Linked DNA regions of Daphnia pulex. The protein of the gene in region 2 purifies or fractionates together with the protein of the main gene of each other region. This does not show direct contact. Links are inferred from orthologs where the notes say so. Each region holds a gene or a part of one and is shown on either strand. Other genes may lie near its edges.

Evidence for each region.
Region 1: the proteins of intraflagellar transport protein 140 homolog (region 2) and intraflagellar transport protein 122 homolog purify together in Homo sapiens (affinity purification with mass spectrometry; 4 studies listed by BioGRID and IntAct, counting the BioPlex papers as one, with this or other methods). This does not show direct contact. The link is inferred for Daphnia pulex from reciprocal best matches to the Homo sapiens genes IFT140 and IFT122.
Region 3: the proteins of intraflagellar transport protein 140 homolog (region 2) and WD repeat-containing protein 19-like purify together in Homo sapiens (co-immunoprecipitation; 3 studies listed by BioGRID and IntAct, with this or other methods). This does not show direct contact. The link is inferred for Daphnia pulex from reciprocal best matches to the Homo sapiens genes IFT140 and WDR19.

Annotation. Positions count from the first base shown.
Region 1 is NC_060023.1:2,445,003-2,452,400, reverse strand, and holds the start of intraflagellar transport protein 122 homolog, read left to right. Parts: upstream 1-2,399; 5' UTR 2,400-2,675; exon of another isoform or gene 2,676-2,740; 5' UTR 2,741-2,855; intron 2,856-3,061; 5' UTR 3,062-3,188; intron 3,189-3,244; 5' UTR 3,245-3,331; intron 3,332-3,393; 5' UTR 3,394-3,717; intron 3,718-3,789; 5' UTR 3,790-3,926; intron 3,927-3,983; 5' UTR 3,984-4,607; coding exon 4,608-4,666; intron 4,667-4,760; coding exon 4,761-4,870; intron 4,871-4,929; coding exon 4,930-5,050; intron 5,051-5,116; coding exon 5,117-5,327; intron 5,328-5,385; coding exon 5,386-5,465; intron 5,466-5,532; coding exon 5,533-5,611; intron 5,612-5,688; coding exon 5,689-5,886; intron 5,887-5,953; coding exon 5,954-6,042; intron 6,043-6,115; coding exon 6,116-6,224; intron 6,225-6,291; coding exon 6,292-6,429; intron 6,430-6,511; coding exon 6,512-6,814; intron 6,815-6,873; coding exon 6,874-7,398. UniProt on the Homo sapiens protein: As a component of the IFT complex A (IFT-A), a complex required for retrograde ciliary transport and entry into cilia of G protein-coupled receptors (GPCRs), it is required in ciliogenesis and ciliary protein trafficking.
Region 2 is NC_060023.1:8,882,643-8,889,879, forward strand, and holds the start of intraflagellar transport protein 140 homolog, read right to left. Parts: upstream 4,777-7,237; 5' UTR 4,663-4,776; coding exon 4,534-4,662; intron 4,464-4,533; coding exon 4,239-4,463; intron 4,159-4,238; coding exon 4,014-4,158; intron 3,943-4,013; coding exon 3,758-3,942; intron 3,691-3,757; coding exon 3,250-3,690; intron 3,177-3,249; coding exon 2,987-3,176; intron 2,923-2,986; coding exon 2,700-2,922; intron 2,632-2,699; coding exon 2,517-2,631; intron 2,456-2,516; coding exon 2,016-2,455; intron 1,959-2,015; coding exon 1,775-1,958; intron 1,707-1,774; coding exon 1,541-1,706; intron 1,457-1,540; coding exon 1,336-1,456; intron 1,263-1,335; coding exon 986-1,262; intron 920-985; coding exon 735-919; intron 670-734; coding exon 525-669; intron 460-524; coding exon 283-459; intron 218-282; coding exon 1-217. Other genes in the region: uncharacterized protein LOC124197929, read right to left, coding at 6,305-6,613, 6,688-7,021. UniProt on the Homo sapiens protein: Component of the IFT complex A (IFT-A), a complex required for retrograde ciliary transport and entry into cilia of G protein-coupled receptors (GPCRs).
Region 3 is NC_060017.1:216,197-223,376, reverse strand, and holds the start of WD repeat-containing protein 19-like, read left to right. Parts: upstream 1-2,122; 5' UTR 2,123-2,261; coding exon 2,262-2,282; intron 2,283-2,344; coding exon 2,345-2,499; intron 2,500-2,561; coding exon 2,562-2,997; intron 2,998-3,076; coding exon 3,077-3,363; intron 3,364-3,438; coding exon 3,439-3,557; intron 3,558-3,700; coding exon 3,701-3,801; intron 3,802-3,883; coding exon 3,884-3,981; intron 3,982-4,048; coding exon 4,049-4,190; intron 4,191-4,254; coding exon 4,255-4,389; intron 4,390-4,453; coding exon 4,454-4,603; intron 4,604-4,668; coding exon 4,669-4,816; intron 4,817-4,897; coding exon 4,898-5,108; intron 5,109-5,174; coding exon 5,175-5,272; intron 5,273-5,348; coding exon 5,349-5,479; intron 5,480-5,550; coding exon 5,551-5,702; intron 5,703-5,765; coding exon 5,766-5,982; intron 5,983-6,059; coding exon 6,060-6,206; intron 6,207-6,259; coding exon 6,260-6,426; intron 6,427-6,496; coding exon 6,497-6,731; intron 6,732-6,796; and 5 more. UniProt on the Homo sapiens protein: As component of the IFT complex A (IFT-A), a complex required for retrograde ciliary transport and entry into cilia of G protein-coupled receptors (GPCRs), it is involved in cilia function and/or assembly.

The DNA.
Region 1 (7,398 bases), about 6.4 Mb from region 2:
AACTAACCCCGCCATGCCTATATGTAATATAAATAATCTCCGTCGTGTCTTGTGTAAACCCCGATAGATCGATAGTAATAACTTCCAATCATCAGCTGACCCCAGTGAACAAATAACCGAAGAAAAATAAATTTTGTCCAGGGGATGAATATAAAGAAAAGACGCGATCATCAATCGGCTTTCCAGATAACCAACTCCCCCAGCAGGTGGTTATATCTATTTAACTCTCTCTACAGACGTGATGCGCTTGAGCATGGTATAGGTTATTATATGTAGCACACACACATAATAATATCTGGGTTGTCAATACATTAAATGTTTTTTCTCCCCCCTCCTTTGGTTTCAAACTGGACGCAATATAATCAAAATAAAAATTTTTTTTCTCAGATTTCTTTTATATGCTGCCCTTTTCTGTTTGATCATTCAATGATGAATAGCCACCGGTGTAGATGGTAGTAGCCTCTACAAGAACGAACAACTCCCCCCATCGAGTTGTTGGGGGATAGACCGGGGGTCGAAACACTCCCTTTACAGAAGGTAAAAAAATAAATTCAAATATTTTATCAAAAAATAATAAGAATGGTAGGGAAAACTAGACGTAGTACAGTCCCCGTGGAGAGCTGGTAATGAATCCTATAAATCCTTCGATATATATATAGTATAACTCGTCCCTCACAACATTTACGACGACGTCCTATATATGCGTATCCCCTTTTACGTTGTTGAATGCTGCTGTGGGGGGCTCCACCCTGATAGTTTTTTAGAAATATTCAAATCTAACGGAGACCCAGCTATTAAAAAAAATGTATCAAATTTGAGCCTGTCAAGTTATTGTAATTTCGAAATTCTTGGACGACGCTAAATCAGCTGATGTGGAGGTGACTAACTGTTATAATCACATTAATAACACCAGGAATGAAAGGATTTCAAATTTTTTTTCCCCTGAAAGAATTTCGACCTTGGCATAGCCACACAGCCACACGGGTCGTTACCAAATTAACTGCTTGCCCAGGTTCCAAAAAAGAAACTATAATTGCTGTGTGCTCTTTTAGCTCTATCTTATACATCTATCTACTATTTTTTTTGACGGGAGAGGGGAACTTCTCTTATAAGTAGACACATTGTTGTGTTGTATGTGTCCATTGCTCTGGCCAGCCAGCACAGGTTATATTTATACACATCAACTAAAAGGGCGATATATAGATGTATAGATAGACCTTTCTCCTTCTCGTGTTTTTTTGCGGATAGTTTTGTGGAGCGCGAGCGCCGAGAGTCGCTTGTTGCCGTGTTAATTAATCGCCAGGTTCTTCTTCTTCTTCTTCTGGTTGAGGAGTATCGTCTCCAGGAGTTTTTTTCTTTGTCGGCGAAAAGGAAAAAAAAAAGGCGAAAAGAATCAGAAATAAAACACAAGCGGCGAAAGGGACCCCCCTTCTATACCACCTTCTATATTATCCTCCCACCCAATTCCACCTTTAGAACTTTTTTGTCCATATTGACCGCGGTTGAGCACATCAAGTTTGGAAAAAACTTTTTTGTTTCGGATAGATTCAAAAGTTTTTGGCTTTTCTTTGTGTCTTGTCCCAACACGAAAGCACCGCCCCCCTTGTGAAGAAATGAGACCTTTTTTTTTCTTTGGTGTTGTACGAAAATTTTTCGTTTTAAAATGGTGGGGGGATGGTGAGAAAAGCAATGAGGAAATTTGAGATAAGAGTCGCCTTTTTTTAAATTATCGATTCCAATAGCCGTCATTAAAAAAATAAGAAAAGAAACAAAAGGGAAGAAAGCAGAAGACCCATTTGCCCTTAATCAGTAAAAGGTCGATGATTATGTCTGACTATTTATGCTGTCCGGCTGTTGGATTGTGAAGGAAAGAAAAAAGGAAATTGGGAAAGTCTCCTTCTTTCGGACTGTTAAACAGATGGCTCGAATGTGCCATTTTAACAAGGAGAGAGAGTGGAGTGTGCTATCGGTCGTAGTTTTTTTTCGCCGACCTTGATTGGATATTTTCGAGCTTTTTTTTTAAATAATAAGGAGCCGATTCGTTACGCGAGATTATATAGACACGGGGAAATGAGTCGGGTTTTGAATTTGACATCATTTAGCGCTCTGCCACGCCATCTACTAGTAGAAAAAGGAACAAAATGTGTTTGCACGAATTGGTTTTTTATTTGAATTCAGGAATCGAGCTATGCTTTTCGTTTTTTTTTTTACTTTGGAATAAATTATTTAGTTTAAGTGACAAGTTAAAAGAGGGTTGGTTTGCAAAATGGAAAGATTAGAAATTACTTTAATCCTCGAAAACAGAAAATGATATGAATTATGTGCTCATTTTTCTTCGTTATGGTCGTGATGGTTCGATTAATTAACTTCACGTTTACGGATGAATTGGAATCATTTGGCACCTTTTCACGTCATGTATCAAAAGTTTCGTGACAAGATTGAAACGCTTCCAGACTTGTCCGTCGAATCGTTGGCGTCGAGTTACCAACAAAACAAAACAACTTAACAATATGTCGTTTCATTCAACCAGCCAAACAGCCAACTGTTAAATTCGATCAAGTAAAAATGGTGCCAAAAGTGAACCACGTTTTGACTTTATCATATCATCTAACGACACTAGTATTACATGAGTAACATGACCTTATCAACAGAAACACTGTTTCATTCTTTAAAAGGTAAGATTTCTTAGAAATATAAACCTTTTTGTGAAATCCAATTACTGTTTATTTTTGTGCACAAGGACAATGACTATTGTGTAGCTTTTGCTAAAAATGTAAAACGCTTTGCTTCTGGGGGGGTGCTGACAAGAATGTCATCATTTGGACTGGTGGCCTGGAAATGATTCTAAAATACTTGTAAGTAGCAATTTATTGGAAATATGGAAATCAGAATGATTGTTGTTACCATTTCTTGTTTCAAGTCAGAATCTTTTTCAGTCACAATGTTTACAATTCAATGTGTTTCTTGGTAATCCAATCACACCCCTCTAGCTATTCTAATTTGCAATGTCAGTTGCTCCTCTAATGACCTTTGATTATTCTGATTTTTTATTGATAACCAGAGCAGAAGAATATCCAAAAATCTGCAGTCTTTTTCTTGGAATTATGACAAATAATAACATGGGAATCCTGTTGGCTTTAGCCCTTAGGTTTGGCCAAGGGTCCATCTGAAACAGCATTTACACTGGGGTATAAATAAACATTGGCATTTTCAGCTTCCTGATAATTTACAATTTGTTTTCTAGTCTGGAGACTGGAGGTGAAAAATCTAAAATTGAAAGACCTGGAGGCAATCAGTCACCGGCATGGGCCTTGTGCTGAAACAATAACAGGTACATATTATTTAAATAATGCTACTTATGCTACTTGTTATTCTTTTTAATACATCTTGTAGAACTAACTAAGCTGACATGCATCTAGTTATGACAAGAAACAATTGTCGGAACAATTGCGTGTTGGGTTTGCAACATCAATAAGCGGATAGCTGTGTTCTCGGATGCATGACCAGTTGGCCACATGATATTCTTTAGAACCAAATTGCCAAAAGGTCATCAATAGATCGCAGAAGGCAGAGCTACCAGAAGGTTGGGAATGATTCCACCTGAAGGTCAAGATCTTTACGTAAAAGTACGCAGAGAACCGGAGACCCAAGTGCCAATCAACCTCTGCTTCATCATCATGTCTTCATCGTTATTGCGCGTATCTAAAAAAAAATCTGGTAAACAACTCTTTTTGTCATTTTCTCGTATCAATTGGTTCTCTAATTTTATTTATTGTTAATTGAAATAAGGACATGAGTGAAGTGTTTCAAGTCTCTTCACGTCCGACGCATTGAATTTGTTGTAAAAAAACACGTGTGTAAAGAATCAATAAGTGATCCATTTTCCGTTGGTCCAGAAATGGGCAACATTCCATTTGATCAAATTCGTAAGTTATATTGATACCATTGTTTACAGGAGTTAATTAATTTTCTTAATTATTTAGCTTGTGAGATACTAGAAGCAAATCATCACAATTTTGTTATTCTACGACTCTCCGAATGAAAACCAAATCCTTAAGCATCTGATAGCTCGCTAGTGCGGTCCTTCCAAGTGATCTGAAACTTTTTGATCTGTAATTAGTCAGATCCCCAGTAATTTTTAATGTAGTCGTTACCTGTAGTTAACGTGCTTAATTGTTTTTTGTTGATAATTAATTTCATGTCGGCTGAAAATTGTGACGTTATCCAGTGGTAGTAGGCCTATTTTGAAATCCTTTAAATTGAAAAAAACTAGAATTACTGAATAATTTTATACAAGGTGTAGCAGAAGAAAGCGACGAAAATTTTATACTTTTTATTTTACAGAAACTCGTATGTTAATTTAAGGCAAGGATTTGAATTTGGATCATTTAGCGCGTTTTTCACGCCATCTAGCAGAAGCATTTTGTACGACGACAAGATTCATAATTGCTTTGAGACTTCGAGTCGTTGCCCTGGTGATCGTTGTTAACAAACAAAAAGTTTCAACCACCTATCTGTCAGATTCGATCGAGTAAACCAATAGTAAACACGTTTTGAATGATCTAATGTCAGCTTAACCTGATATGTAAATCGGAATTCCAGTTATAATGAGAACAGTGCCTATCTGGGTGGACAAGGTCCATACCCGCGATAATTCAGAGCAACAGTAAGTGTTATGATTGATTCCTATTGATATCTCTTTATCATTCATTCATTTGTATGCGTTAACGGTCTAACGTGAATACATTAACATTTTACAGGATATACGATCTGTGCTTCAGCGCTGATGGTACTCAACTGATTGCTGCAGCAGGGAACAAAGTGCTTGTGTATGAGGCCTTAACAGGCACACTGCTTCATTCTTTAAAAGGTAAGGTGTCTTAAATCGAAAACTTTCCTGTTAAATCCTTATACTACCATCTATTTTAGGGCACAAGGATATTGTGTATTGTGTAGCCTTTGCTAAAGATGGAAAGCGCTTTGCTTCTGGTGGTGCTGACAAGAATGTCATCATTTGGACGGGTGGCATGGAAGCCATTCTCAAATATTCGTAAGTAGTAATTAGCTAAAAATGTAGGAATCAAAATTATTGTTTTGATTTCATATTCCACAATAGGCACAATGAAACAATTCAATGTGTGTCCTACAATCCAGTTAGCCCTATTCTTGCCAGTTGCTCCTCTAATGACTTTGGTTTGTGGAGTCCTGAGCAGAAGAATGTCCAAAAATACAGAGTCAGTTCACGAGTGTGTTCTTGTTCTTGGAATGATGATGGAACCCTGCTAGCCTTAGGTTTGGCCAATGGCACAATATCCATCCGAAACAGAGTATACACAAAAATTGACATTTTAAACTTCATGATAACTCATAACTCTTGAATTTTAGTCTGGAGATGAAAAATCTAAAATTGAAAGACCAGGAGGCAATCAGTCACCAGTATGGGCCTTGTGCTGGAACATCAACAGGTACATATTATTTATATAATGCTAATTTAATTCCCTCTCGTCATTTAAAAACAATCTCTTTTGGTAGGACTGACCAAGCAGAAATGCTTTGTGTCACGGATTGGGGTAACAGAACGTTATCCTTCCACCTCCCCAACGGAAAACAAGTATGAGTATATCAGATATCATTGTTTCAACAAGTGCTTTCCTCTAAAAATTTAATGTTATTGTATGAATTTACTAGATCCGTTCGGAGAAACCTTTGGGTTTCAACGCTTGCCGAATAGTTCCTTATCGTCACGCTGGTGGTGACTATCTGCTTGTCTGTGGATCCAACCGACAGTGTCAGCTCTTTAGTAGCGAAGGATATGCTCTTGGTCCCATAGCTGAGTGTAGCAAGTGGGTCTGGGCGACGGCAACCAAACAAAACAGCACAGTTGTGGTAAGCCATTCAAAATTTTGACATATTAAAATTTTTAAACGTTAAAATTCTTATCCGTTGCTTGTAGGCCGTTGGCAGTGAAGACGGAACAGTCGGTTGTCACCAGCTGATATTTAGCACCGTTCACGGTCTCTATAAAGAACGCTACGCATTCAGGTATTGCTAAATAAGGATCGTGTGAATGGGCTTAATTTACAATGCCGTTTTACTTTGTTATTTCGAAAAATAGAGAACATCTGACAGACGTGGTAGTCCACCACTTACTGACGGAGGAAAAAGTGCGCATCTGTTGCCGTGACCTTATCAAGAAAATCGCCATCTACAAAAATCGCTTAGCGGTATGTCGTGCAATGGCAGGAATATGTGACCGGATGATGATGTCTTGTTATTGTTGGATTCTTCTAGGTCCAGCTGCAAGAAAAACTCATGATTTACGAGCAACAGGAAGGCGAACAGCTGCACTATGTCATCAAGGAAAAAATCAGCCAGAATTTCGAATGCAGCCTTATGGTCATTTGTACCAACCACATCATTCTGTGTCACGTAAATCTTTTATATGATTTTCTTTGCAAAATTTTTATCTAACGTATCACATCTGTCTGGTATTTTGTTTTGTTTCGTTCAGGAAAAGAAACTGCAGTCGGTGAACTTTCAGGGCGTCAAGGAACGCGAGTGGACGTTAGATTCACCCGTGCGCTACATAAAAATCGTCGGCGGACCGGCCAACAAAGAGGGTCTCCTGCTAGGCTTGAAGAATGGCCAGGTGTCCAAAATATTTTTAGATAACCCTTTCCCGGTGGAGTTGCTCAAGATCAGTGTCCCTATCCGCTGCCTGGACTTGAGCTCTTCACGCCAAAAGGTGGCCATTGTAGATGACAACAATACCTGCTCCGTCTATCAATTGAGCAACAGTGAATTGATTTCTCAGGTAGTTCCAAAACTTTTTCCCAGATTACAACAGAATAATAACCTAAATTGTGAATGTAGGAGCCACATGCTAATAGCGTCGCTTGGAACATTCATTGCGAAGATATGCTTTGCTTTTCGGGTCAGAACTGGTTGAACATCAAAGCATCGAATTTTCCCTGTCACCAGCAAAAGTTTCAAGGCTACGTCGTGGGATTCTACGGCGCCAAAATATTTTGCTTGCAGGGATACAGCATGACCACCCTTCAGGTGCCTCTATCAGCACCAATGTACCAGTATCTTGACCGTAAGCTCTACCGCGAAGCTTACGAAGTGGCTTGTATGGGCGTGACGGAGGCCGACTGGTCACAGCTGGCACACGAGTCGGTCAATGCGCTGGAACTGGACATTGCCACACAAGCGTTCCAACGTATCCAGGACTACAAATACCTGGAGCTGATGGAATCTATCGCCAATCAGAAGCGGCTGGGAGGACCACAGGCCAATATCAACCACAATGTCTTTATCGGCGACATCCTTGCGTGGCAGGGAAAGTTCAACGAGGCGGCTCGCTTGTACCGCAAGTGCGGCCGTAGCGACAAGGCG
Region 2 (7,237 bases):
GTGCACAGGCTTCATAAAAGCCGACAAGGAGATCGGGCGATCTAGCTTTCGTGTAGAAGGTCACAATGTGTTTGACGTATTCCGGGTGGGAGCGCCAGTCGAGGGTTTGTAAATAGTTTCCAGCAAGTATATAAATATCAGGCTGCCTAGACACGTTTGCGAAGAAGACAATTCGATCTGTATCGCCTGATTTTAAGAGAGCTTTCATCGCTTGATACTAGATACAAATTTCCCATTAGTTAAAGAAATCAAACAAAAAAATAAAAACCAAAGATCAATTACTTTATCTCCTGCTTGAGTAAACTTCTTTGCCGCTAACTGGTAGTCACCCTGGCGTTGAGCAACTTCAGCCAGTTGAGTCAGCAATCGGCTGTTATTTTCCCCATTTACGAGTTGATCGGCCAACGCTTCTGTCAACGTGACATTGTATTTCAAACACATGTCAACTGCATCGGAATTCTGTAAAATAAATTCCCTTTCAGACTTAGATTCAGACGTAGAAAATATCGAGATTCTAATCTTACCTTTCCTGCCATGGCAAGCAAATCTACAGCTGCATCATAATGGCGATGACTTGCTAAATAATCAGCACAACGTTGCAGTGATGCAGGATTCGAGTTTTTGTCCAAACGTCGAGCTAATTCTAATACAGCTTCATGCTGTTCCGTTCTTTGAAGGGCGCAAGAAAAATAAGCCAAACATTCACTTGTTATACATTTCATGCAAGATATTACCTAGAAGCCAAATCGAGGGCAGTATCAAGAAGTCCAGCTTTACTGTACAGCATGACTGCTCGATCGAATCTCGGTTGGCGATCGCTGTTAGCCGATGAACCTTCAAAATAACGTGCAGCTTCAATCATTTCTTCTTGTTCGCCCAGCATGGCGTATCGGTACAGCTGGTCATCCAGTTCGTGTTCCTATTTACAAAGAAAAAAGTCAAGTGTGCTTTCTCTCAAAAGGGGAATGATATGAATACTACATACTTTGCATAGACGGACAGCGTTACCGTAGGCGGCTGCCTGGCCAAAAAACTTCAAAGCCTCGGGAATGTTATCGTTAGCCTCGTGTTGCCGGGCGACGTGGAAGCAAGCTGCGCGGTCTTGGCTCTGTTCAGCCAACTCGGTCGCTCGATTCAAATCGCCCAAATAGCAATGAAGCCGCACAAGTGAAAGGTAGTCTCCAGCCCTGGCGTAGTGTTCTAGCGCCGTATCCATCTCTCCGCTGCTTTCCAGAAACTGAGCCCACCAACGAAGTCGTTCTCTACCGAGCAAACAACAATAACCTGATTAATAACCCCGTCACTTTACGAGGAATAAAAATTTAGAAAATGTACGGGTCTTGACTGGAAGTGCAATAATTCTGAAGGGCGGTTGTATCTTCGAATAGCATTCGTGGGACATCAAAATGATGGGTTTGACACTTTTCGTACATTTGGAGCGCTAACGTAGTATTTCCTACAAATAGAAAATCAATTATTTTTGAAGTGCTATAACCTAATCATGGCAGCTAATCAAGAAAAAGATTAACAAGATACGTACCTTCGCCTTCGAGATGACGAGCGTACTCGTAGTAAGTCCGTTTCAAGTTGATTCGATCTTTAGTGTGGGCCAATTGCAACGCTTCGTCCCATCGGTTAGAAGCCTGGTACATTCGGCTAAGAAGGTCGTAGCATAAAGATTGCTCGCACATCGCTTCCGCATCTTTCTGTAAAAAATAATATGACATCATTCAATTGTTGGGTTGAATAAAAGAAAGTTAACTCAACCACTTACTATCATGCCCAACTGGACGGCAAGAACAGCTGTAATTGCATCCACTTGGCCTAAATATTTCTCCTGGGCAGATCGAACCGCCGCAGCTGCCCTGGCGCTGCCTAATTTCCCCAAGCAAATTAGGCCGACGTCCGGTCGCCTCAATTGGACGCAGCTGCGAGCTAAGCTTTCCCATATTTTCGGACTGTATTCAAAAGTGTCGTTAGCCATGTATTTTTAAAAATGCTAACAGTCAAGTTACTTGGCAAAAGATCGCACAGCCTGATAGGCTTGCTCCACACGCCCACGTCTTAGGTGACAGCTGAATGATAACAATGCGTCGCGGGCTGCCTTATCACGGTGATCGTTCAGACTGGCCAAACTGTCTAGCAACCGCAAATGAATTTTCGTCGCTTCATCCACAATGGCGTAGTGAGGAAGTCGGACGCCAATGAGGTCGGTTGTCATGGGCACCACGTCTTGAACCAAAAGCTCTTCCTGTTCAGTTGGAACTAAAAGCGAAACCAAACAGCTGTTCTCTTTGCCTGCGATTTGGCAAACAACAATCCGGGGTTCATCTTCATCCCAGTAATGAACTTGGAGAACGCCTTGCTCCTCTGGCCATTCGGCGGCTACGTTAAAGGATTCGACCAAATTCATTGTGGTTCTCCACACGAACAATTTGGTTAGTCCTTCATCTGCCTGTCATTCAAAATTTAATTTGTTTTTAACACTTTCGTAAATAAATAAGTGGTTTACGTACATCGACTGTAAATGAGATGCAAGAGCCATCAATGTTGGTTTTCACGGAACGGAATCGCTCAAAACCAGCAACATTCGCTGTTACGTTTTTCGTGCTTATGTGTAGCTTTGGATCACTAAAATTCAAAATAATAGTTTATGTACAAGCGAAAGGATCTTACAATGAGTAAATTAAGCTACATACCTAGTAGTCACGTCCCATAGCTTGACGTAGCCACTAGTCGATGATGCGCACAAGAAGTTACCGAAGAGATCCAACGTTACGGGAGATCCTTCCGAGTCCATAAAGGATAGCGGGGGGCACACTACAGATCCTTGAAAATTCCGCATTTGGATCAACGGACCCTCTAGACAGAAACACGCTGTTTTGTGAAGCCGCACCATCAAGCATTCGCATTCAAAACTTCCTGTAACGTTCAAATAGAATAATTTCGTAATGAAAGTCGAATATAAAAAGAGACAAACACTTACCAATTGCAAAAGGTTTTTCGTTGGTGGTACCTACTCCCATCTGGTAAATGACCACTTTTGCCTCTCCCCACACTAAAAGGTGATTCTCACACAAGTCTATTCCGGAAATTCTTATTGGTAAATCCAGCTGAACAGAATTTGTTTGTCTTTGGACGGATACTACAGATGACGAAAGTTGAACGACACCAATCTAGACAAGAAAAATCCAATTGTTTTTTTAGATATTTAACCTTTTTTTTTTCTTGCAAAATACGGTAATTTACTTCGTTCCTGAAAGCGACTGATGGTTGCTGCTGGACAATTTGATAAAGGCTAGATCCATTATGTACAAAGAGATATTTTGCTCCCCAGACGGAATGTTCGATAGAACCGCCAGAGAGGCCAACCAGACCGATGAAATGCCAATCATCTTCGGGAGTGTGAATGTCGTTACGATTATTGTTGTCTCGCCAAAAGACGATGCCACCCAAATTAGTCGCAGCGGACAGGAGAGCGTGGGTTTTATCGGGCAGGTAGGCAAGTGTGGTGAAATGTTCCGCTCCAGAGTGAAGAGTAAGCTCAGCTACGTCAGGCAGTGGCAAGAGGAAAGTATCGTTGCTTTGGCAGTTCCACAAACGGATTGTCAGATCGCCACCGGTCAGAGCAATCATATTTTTATTCAACCACGTCAGCTGAATTAATTGAGATTTCCCGCTTATTTTCACCTGAGAGAAGAAACGGAATTGATTTATTCAGAGGTTTAAAAAATAAGTAAACGCACTGTTTATGTACCGTGTTTAGAAGTTCAATGACTTTAGTTCCGTCCTTCAATTTATTTTTTCTGAAAACAGAAAGAAGTCCACCAGAAGTTAAAACACAAAGAGAATCTTCATGGTTGACAATATTTTGAATGGCCTTTTCCATTCGAACAACTTCTGTACATGCTGGGCCATCTTGAACAGCATGATAGATAGCACCTGAATTACATCATTTTTGATAGAAAACATGTCAGATTAATGAGGTTAAAAATTTCAACCAATATTCTCACCAGAGGAGCTTCCAATGAAACTCTCCCAAGGTGGTGCAGGCAATCTAAAGCAAGTCAGTTGAGAAGGTGTGTCTTTTATATCATGTTCAGTTATCTTTTGGAAATGGTTATCTTTGGAATGATTCCAGACTGTTAGAATACCATTCTGTGGTTACGAGGAATTGGAGAGAAAAATGAAAATAAGTCTAAATGTCATTAACCATTACTTTTTCATATATTCATTACGCTATTAAGGCTTAAAAGCTGATTTTCATTTGCCCAACAGAGAAACCTAACTGGGTGTTTTTGAACAGTTGGAACTTTTATCTCCTTCAAAATTTTTGTATCCAGGATGAGGGTGTAAATTTCCCCAATATCTGAACCAACAGTGACGACAGCAAGAGTAGGATGCCATTTGATCGATACAAGTTTAGAAGGGCTTTTCCAAGGACAGCCATGTAAAAGAGCACTCTAAAATTCCATTATAACACGCAAAGTTTATAGTAGATTACATATATTTGAACCATATTGTATTTCTCACCTCCTGGAATATGTACAGCTGGTTGTCGTCAGTTATGACAGCCGTGTAATTCAAAGTCGAATGAGAAACGAGGTCTTCCAAAACTTTTCCGTCGAGGTGAACTAACAACCTTTCTACAAAAATTGTCATTTTAGATTTCTTTACCAAATTACAACCAAACGGTTGCGAAAAACGTCACGAGATTCAAATATTCTAGTCCATACATTGTGTTTTCAGGAAAACATGTGTTTCCATGGAAACCCAATCCAGATGGCAACGTCGCAAAACACACCCCTGAATCCTGAAATTCAAAACGAGAAAAGGAAAAAAGGCAAAACAGATGCGATTCAGTCACTATTTATTATTCAATAGGTAAAAAGACCTTGTTGAGAAACGAGACCGACGTCTATATGTTATGTAAGAAAAATAACTAAAACAATACAGTGGCAATCTAGTGTGTTTTGTTTTAATACAAACGACTGATAGAAATAACGCACATTGAAGAGGCTGAATAGATCGGCTTCAAACACGACACACTCAGCCCCTAAATTCGTTTTTGACATCTCGTCAGAAGTTAGGTTCCCCCCATATGACACAATTTAGCAACAACGGCAACAACATAGGCACCAAAGGTATATATATAACATCGACGTAATAATTATATAAGAAAAGGGAGAGAGAGAGATAGAGGGGAGGGGGATGAGGAAAGCGTGACTACATGTGTATACATGTCATGCTTTGCTGTGTTAATAGGAGCACAGTGTAGATGAATTCCAACGAGGGAGATATTACATGAGACACATTATTGTAGGAATTGTAATGAAACAGCAGACACACAAGTCATTCGGTAGATAGTGGAAGACACTCTACAGCTATATGATATATCAAACTCAAATGCTTAAGACACGTACACAGCGACACATGAAACGAAGAGGGTGGCAAAATGGGAGGATATGATTTGAATCGGTACGAATCACCCGACCGCATTCTTATTTTGACCGACTTGGAAACTTGCAGATTTCGATTATCGAAAGATCATAATCCCAACAACTCGTAGTTTTTTTTTGTTTTTTTCACCTTCAATCCACAACAACAGCAACAACAAGAGGATAGACCAAACACTGTACAAAGCACGGGAAGGTAGGGGGGAGGGGCTTGTCAGAGATGAAGAGAATGAAAATTTAACACCGATATATAAAAATCTCCAATCGAAATACGATTTACCCGCACCATGACGCTACTACAGTGCCACACAATTTTGTTTAACTTGTTTCTGTTGGCGTGTGAAGGAAATGAAAATGAATCAGGAAAATCGAAAAGAAAACAAACAATCAGTAAGCCAATGACAAAAAGAAGAATTGACGTGATGATGACAGCGAAAAGAATTGGTTTCGCTTTGGTTAAGAACCAAAACGACACATTGAACAGCGCGGTAAATAATTAACCCCGAGAGACACAATTACAACAAAAAAAAAATTACACTCATCAATTTAATTATTTGCTTTGCATATAGTTGGCGTTTGAAGGAGAAAAAAAACTGGTGGAATAAATCCATCGTGTGTGCGAGCGGTTCATTGTATACAGAGTGCGGAGGATATGGATTGGTGTTGACGTGCCGGTCAGAAAACCTTTTTTTTTTGTAACTTGGTCGAGATAGATTCTCATGTGTATAGCTGATTTGTGTACGTGTTATTTTCCTGTTTTTCTCCATTCTCCATGTCTACTCTTCGCGAATCAAAAAGCAGGATACAGTTAAAAAAAGGGGAAGTCGTACGGGCCCGACATCCGTCGATCATGCCGACAGCTCCATACGATCCAGCGATTCTGGACTGAGCGATTCGTCCTCTTCGGACGGCTGGTAGTTGCGATCCTGCGACAGGTCGGCGCCGCCCTGGTGGGGGTGGTGATGGTCATCCGGATGGGTTTCGAAATGGCCGATCAGATGAGTGTGAGACTGATTGGCGGAAGCGTGAGAGCTGCTAAGTAGAGGATCTCCTCTGGTCGCCTGGTTGAAATCGTCTTCCATAAAGTCGTCCAGTGACGAGAATTCGCAAGCGACAGCCAGGCCACTTCCGCCGATCTCCGGAATCAAGTCGGGGACCTTGATCATTTCAAATTTGATTTTAGTCATAAATAAATTCAATTGTTAGGACTCATCGCGAAATATGTTTATACTTTTCGGAATGAGTTGTCGTCACGGGGCTCCGTCTTGATGTAAGGCGGAGTGGATGGCGTTAACGGGGCCGACGTCAGGTGCGGATCGGTCCAGGTTCCTTCCGAATCGGAAGCCGGCAGCGGCAGTCCGTGCGTTTTGGCTTGGAGTTCCAGCTGCTGGATCCGGAGCAGTAGCCGCCTGTTTTGCAATTCCAGCTGCCTCTGTCGGGCCTCGTTTTGGGCCAGACGGTCGCGGTCGTGTCTCAGCCGGCGGATGTAATCCACCGAGGCTTTGAGGATGCCTCCCTTGTTCTGGCGGACGTCGCGGAAGCAGTCGTAGTACCTGCACATATCACTATAATCTTTTAAATACTAGGAAGAACTTTGCGACGAACGACTTAGTGCTACAGCAAGTCCCCCGATCATCAATCAAAATTGTTCTGGACAATCAATTGTTTATCAAATTAAATTAGACCAATCACATTGATATGAAATGCCATAATAAGTGAATGATCGAGCCACTTGAATAATTGATAAAACATGATATCGATTCTCATTTGAAATGGAAATG
Region 3 (7,180 bases), on a different chromosome or scaffold from region 2:
TAGATTGTCAACGTCTACTACTAAGCTTGTACAGAAAATCTCGTGGACCCCAATCCTTGGTATACAACAAAGCCTTCACTAATCGGCTGACTCGACTTGTTCCCTAATATCCTCTCTCTTGTTCGTAACTGATAGCAGTCATGAACAATCCTTTTTCCCGCCGAAAACCCTGGTAGATTCCAAGAATGAGACAGAACCATTATTAAAGCACCGGTAGATCTTTAGTCAAAGTATTATACAGTAGCCTCATTATCTCGAGATTTGGAACCAGTTGCCAAGCGAAAAATCAACAGTAAAATATGGAAACCCAACGAGGCATAGGCATGATCGACTCAGATGCCCAAAGTGGATATGGCTTTTAAAAAAACCTGTAGCTGGTGATTGGGCGCATCTTCTTGCAGTGCAATCTGCAAGTCTGCGAATGTATACAGTGACATTATGCGACAGAAAGGCGATAATGAGTCGAGGGGCTATGGGAACCAGCCAAGGGCGTCATGGAACATAACCTTCGTTACGCATACTGCAACACGCCACTTCATTTGATGAATGGCAGTAGATTCAAGCCAAACCTTGACAAAAGAGCCACTAATGAGCCAACATGAAAACATTCAATCGAAAAAGTGGTTTCATTTGAAAAAGAAAATGCGGGAAATGATGACACGTTGCTAATTAACTAGTGAATAGAGTGCAATGGGGCACGAGCAGCAGAAAACGGCGCAGTTCTAAATGGCTAGCAAATGAAATGAACCAAACAAGTGAACGAACGAGGTATCTCTAACCCAGCAGCACGCAGTTTATGCAAACACGAGAGAGCACAAGAACACGGTATGAACTGAGTCCCATTTCTTTCGCGCATAACAGCCGAGATCAAAACATACGACAATTCCTTTTGAATTGATTTTTAATTTAAATATTCCTCGTCCAAGTGGGCTCCGTTATCCGACAAAATTTAGATTCAGTTCACCATGAATTAGAAAATCCTCACATTCAACTTCGACGTGGCATCCCAGTAGAAACATGTAAAACAAAGAATTCATGGAAAGTACGGCTAGGCTTGCTTATGTGGGATAATGACGAAATAATATTAATAGAACCACGAGGATGAAAATGTTTTTTTTTTTTGTAGTTTGTTAAATGCCTAAAACACTCCAAAATTAATTCCAACTAAATATTTTCCTTTAAAAAACTGTAAGTAAGAAAAAATGGAGGAAGACTCTGAAACTTCTCTTTGGCAAATAGCCTAAGACTTACAACATAGCTGTTGCAAATAACACAGTTGATAACCTTCTTCTAGATTTAAAGATGGAAATCTGGAAAGTCGATTTCAATGACAAGTTTTAATATCTTTCATCTGCACAGGTAACTACATACCTAACAAAGTAACAATGAATGTTTTTCTAAACTTTTAGGGACAAATAATAATTCCTTAATTTCATGAAAATCTATTTGAGCCAGACGATATTAGGAATGCAATCAAAACCACTAGATTCCTCGTTACAAGTCTACAACAACCATAACAAAACAATAAGGTTGAACAAGATAACTCGAATACTACTGATCATGACTCCATAACACAAACAACAAATAATTCTTTTGAATAGCATTTAGTCTATGTTTTACTGTGAAGGATTTTAAGTCTTTCTGTAGCTGACACTTTGTCTCTAGACTTTCGATTCTTTAGACTATTTTATATCGAATACGTCGAAAACCGATTGGCACACGATAAAACATTGAATGTTTGACGAATTCTTACTTGGAGATTCCGTTGTCCTTGTAAAGAAGTTGGCAGGAGGAGATTCGCAGTAGATAAAACCACTATTTTTCAAATATGTCTGAACGATGAGAACGTAGTTGATGTTGTTGGTTGATGGAATGATGGGTCAACACAACAACTACTTGTCTGCTTCCGTATCGATAGACTGCTCGATTATTTTTTAGTTGTCTGCTTCGGTCTGCTTACTTTCAACAAAATTTCTAAATTTGAAACTTTTTAATATTCTGTTACAATCATAGTTTATTTTTATGCAGTTTTTTCAATAAATTAAAAATTAATCTCATCTAGAAAAATCGTTATTTTCCATTCACAACAACCAAAATGGCAAAATGCTTTTTAGAAAATTTTTCTCTTAGGGTGCTGCCAGGGACCTCTAACGGCGGCCATGTAAACAAGTGAGAAAACGTTTGTTTACAAAGTGATTGCTTGGTAACGAGAGTACTTTCAAAAAAACATATACAGATGGATAATTAAACGACAAATAATCATGCACCTTAACACCGAAAAGGTATTCAGGCCCGTAAAGTTTATGTCTTGTTCGTGAAATTAATTTCTTCCCTTATCTATCAGTTGATATTGAGTTTGAAGGCCCCTGTCGGCGTTGGAACCGTAAAATTAGAATGGCAAACACACGATGGTACTCTCTGGGCAGCTACTGGCTCAAACCGCACCGTACATATATATGACCACTTTGGAAACCAAAAATCTGTGATCACAATGCCTGGGTATAGCTACTGGAACCACATGGTTTGATTTTATTGCTCACAAATACTTTTATTGTTGACAGGTCCTGCACAGGATTTGGCTGGGATTGTGAGGGTGACTTCTTTGCAGCTATTAATGATAGCAGCTCCTTTCTTTACATGTGGAACTCAACTAGCCTTAAAACTGAGAAGATTGAAACTGGTTTGAGAGATCCACTCAGTTTCATGGCTTGGGGCAAAAGTGGTCTTTTCCTAGCAATTGGTACATCAAAGGGAAATGTTCTTTTATACAATCAAAGGGCTGGACGGAAAATTCCAGTTCTAGGAAAACATAGCAAGCGAATTGTAACAGGAGCATGGAGTTCAGACAATCTCCTGGCTCTGGGATCTGAAGATAAAACTCTATCAGTTAGTACCTTGGAAGGTGACACTGTCCACACAGCTAGCCTAAGAAATGAGCCCTCTCAAATCCAGTTTTCTGAAATGAAAGAAGATGAACGTTCAACAGCAGAGAGCACGGTATTGAATGCGATCTAATTTCTGAACAAGAAGAAACCCGCTTCATATTATTATTTTTTTTTTTTTTGCCATTGTATAGATCAGTGCTGTGGTGGGTCGTCGCACGTTAATTCTAATCAACATTAATAACGCAGAAAACCCGTTAGAATTAGCTTTTCAGCAAAATTATGGTAACATCACAACATATCGATGGTTTGGTGACGGATATATTCTGATCGGTTTTTCCGGAGGATACTGCATCGCAATTTCCACCCATTTGAAGGAGATAGGACAAGAACTCTTTCAGATACGGAACCATCGAGACATGGTCTCATCTATATCTATCTGTCCGTCACTAAATCGGGCTGCTTGTTCTGGTGATAACAAGTAATAATAACATATACGTAGCATTAATTCAAAGACCTCAAATAATTTGTTTGCTGATTTTTCTTGTTGAAACAGTGCCAGAATTTACGATTTACTTGATTTAAAAGAAACTGTGTCAGTCATTTCTGTTGAAGAAGAGAATCGAATTGATTGCTGTGCGTGGAGTAATGACGGTCGTCTTCTGGCCATCACAGGTACTATATTAGCTTCTTCAATCTTTCTGCTGCTATGTAATACTGTGATAGTGCATGTTTATATTACATGGCAACATGTAACAGTATTCAATTTAACCTACCTACCCTACCTAACAACCCTTTGGTTAATTAAATTTCCATAGGTAGTTCCGGTAACGTCTACATCTACCTTACTCGTCTGAATATGCTAGCATCGGTTTGGCAGCCTTTCGGCACTATTGCTGTACTCACCAGTCTTAAAGAGGTAGGATCTAAAATATGAATAGTCTGTTATAACTCACTGTTACACTACATTTTGCGTGTGACTGCCGTATTTCTCAATTCAGGTGACTGTGTACGACGTTGCACTTAATACCATCTGCAATGTGCAGTGTGAGTTGGAGCCTGTATTTTTGGCCTGTGGTCCGAAAGCCATTGTACTTGGGTAAACTTATATTATCTAATAAATCATAGTTATAATACTAATTAGAAAACTATTGATCATGATATAGTTTGAACAATCACGTCTGGCTTTACTCTGCGGTCAATGGTCATTTACAACGGAAGTTGCAGTATGCGGGCTCGGTCGAATCGATTTGTTTAAATGAAACACACGTTGCGGCCTTGGTAGATGGCAAAGTTCATTTGCAGCTTGTGAGTTTTCCCCATTAAATTCCATTTCAAATTATTTTATAACTAGTTTTTAATCCATTATTAGATAGAAGAAGCTTCTTTTTCGAGTGACGGAGGAAATGGTCTGATGGATAGCGGTGTATTTCCCTTGCGTGAATCCTCTACAGCCAAGATCGGGAGTCATGCGTTGGCTAAGGATTGTCTCGTCTACGTTACAAGCGTAAGATAATCTAAAAGTGGTCACTTTATTTATTATCTCACCACAATTGCAACGGAAATATAAGGTGGGCGATTTGGTGTACTTTTCGCTGAGTGAGCGGAAACCTGTCAGTGAATATCGCCATGCAGTTGGTTGGAAAAAGATCTATCATGATACATCAGGAACACTTCTAGCCGCTGTGGATATAAAAAATCACGGCTACCTTTACTCTCCGGTATCGGGAAAATGACAAAAACCGCCTCATCTACTTGTCTACTTACACTTGTTTTTATCACTTAGGTCAAGGAAATTTTGTTAAGGATTCCCGATTTCCCAGTTCATCATCGTGGCTTACTTTGGGAGTCGGCAAGTCGGATTAGTCACGTGTTTGTGGCTTGGAGTGACGAGAAGCTTGACGTCTTTGTCTATCACGCCGAGAGACTTACTGGTTTGTTTTTAAAAAAAGATATAATTTTTAAAAATTGATGCGTTGCTATTCTTACACCCATGCACTTTGTTCACTCTAAAGGGAGTTGCATCATACGACTTTGTTCTTCACCTCTAGCAAGTGGCCATACTCCTCTCCTACTTCAAGGACCAGATCTTTTGTTACTTACCGCCTCCTCCAAGTTGACGACACTTTTCATTCCCGAACTTGGGATTGGCTCCAACGGCAAATTGTCGTCGTTGTCCCGCAATGAGTTATTAAATGCGTTGCAGTTCTCCTTGGCGATGGGAAAGTAATAAGAGAGGCTGTTCTTCCTTGATGTACGATTGAAATTTGATTAAGAGAATTTTATTTTCAGATATGAAGATGCGTGGGATATTGGAATTCTACTGGCAGATTCGAATCAGTGGGTCAAAGCAGCTAATGCAGCCCTTAACGATTTTCGCCTAGATTTTGGTAAAATTTTATTTGTTAACTTTTCCGTCGATAAATCCAAACACGATTTTTATTCATTGATATATTTTTTCCATAGCAATTAGAATCTACCGCCATCTGGGCGATATATCCCTGGTATGGTCTTTGGAAGAAATCCAGCATGTTGAAGACCTTCAGTTGCTCTCTGGGCACATTTATATGATTTTGGGAAACTTAGAAAAAGCTCAAGTACGTCGGAATATTTCGTTTAAATTTTTTGATCTGCTGCTGATGAAATTATTATTTTGGTTTGTAAAAAGGATTGTTATTTGAAGTCTTCGCAGCCTGAGATTGCCATCGACATGTACACCGATGTTATGGAATGGGAGCAAGCCTTGCTTTTAGCTGAAAAACTAGCTCCGCACAAGATCGGCGTAATAGCTCGAGAATATGCTCAGCAGCTGGAACAAACGTAAGAATTCATGAATTATTTCTGGCCATTAAATATTGTTAACAAACCAACGTAATTGGTTAGGGGCGACTTCGTTCATGCTCTCTTGTACTATGAGCGTGCTATGAGTGCAGGAGTTGAAAACGGGCCGGATCAGGCTGAACACCAACGTATCTGCCAATCGGGAATTTCTCGAAGCGCTGTTGGATCTGGCGATATTCGTAAAGGGATTTCTCTTGCCGTTCAATCCAACGATCGTGTTCTAATGAAACAGTGCGCCGCTATACTGGAGGACAATAAGGTTTGTTTTCTTCCTAAATTGTCAATGAATTACCAAGAAACTTGTCCATATTGTCTTTGGTTATCTTGCAATCGCAGTATTTCTTGGAAGCAGCTGAACTGTATGAGACTGCTGGCAACAAAGACCAGGCTGCTTTACTGTATACTCGTTTGAAAAATTGGTCTCAAGTGAGCAAGCTCATTCAATATGTGACGCAACCTAAAGTTCACATCGCCTATGCAAAGGTAAATTTATAGATTTTCTGTGTGTATCGATATTTAATCTCCCAATTTCACAGGCCAAGGAGTCGCAAGGGCAGTATAAAGAAGCGCTTAGTTCATACGAGCTGGCAGGTGATTTTGAAAGTGCAATCTTACTTTGTCTTAATCAACTACATAGTCCACAAGATGCTGTGCGAATTGCACGAAGATCCAAAAGCACAGAGGGAGCCAAATTGATTGGAAAGTAAGGGATCTCGACCGATTATGTAGATTTTCATTGACAATATTTTTAATATCAAATTTTTTGGTTTTAGGTTCTTTATGGAACTGGGTGACTATACCACAGCTTTAGAATACCTAGTTATGTCAAAGAACTACGAAACGGCATTTGAAGTTGCCCGTCAAAACGGTCAGATTCAACTTTTTGCCGACATTCTGGGAGATCAGGCGTCACGGGAGGACCTCAACAAAATTGCTTTGCACTATGAACAAGAACGTAATTTCTTGCTCGCTGGAAAGTATTATGCTTTGGCTGGTCAGAATGAAAAGGTGATTTCAGTGAACAGCTACTCCCATTTTGTATACACATTTTATTTACTGATATATTTTGGCAGGCGTTCAAGTATTTCCTCAAAGGCGCTCAACACGGCAGCGATGATGAGAAAGCCATTAACGCGGCCATCCACATTGTTTCAACTTCACAGGATGATCACTTGGCTACCCAGTTGATTGGATTTTTAAATGGAGAACAGGATAACATTCCAAAAGTAAAATATCGTTAACCGGACTTGTACGAGCTCTATCAATCACGCTGTATATATTTTATAGGATGGAAAATATCTATTCCGTCTATATCTGGCTCGTCGTCAGTATAGAGAGGCTACTAAAACTGCCATAATTATTGCAACTGAGGAACAAAATGCCGGTAAATGGCGCGAATTAATAAAGTGTCAAAACCACACGTAATTTTAATGTTCTCCCCTTTATTCCAACTAGGG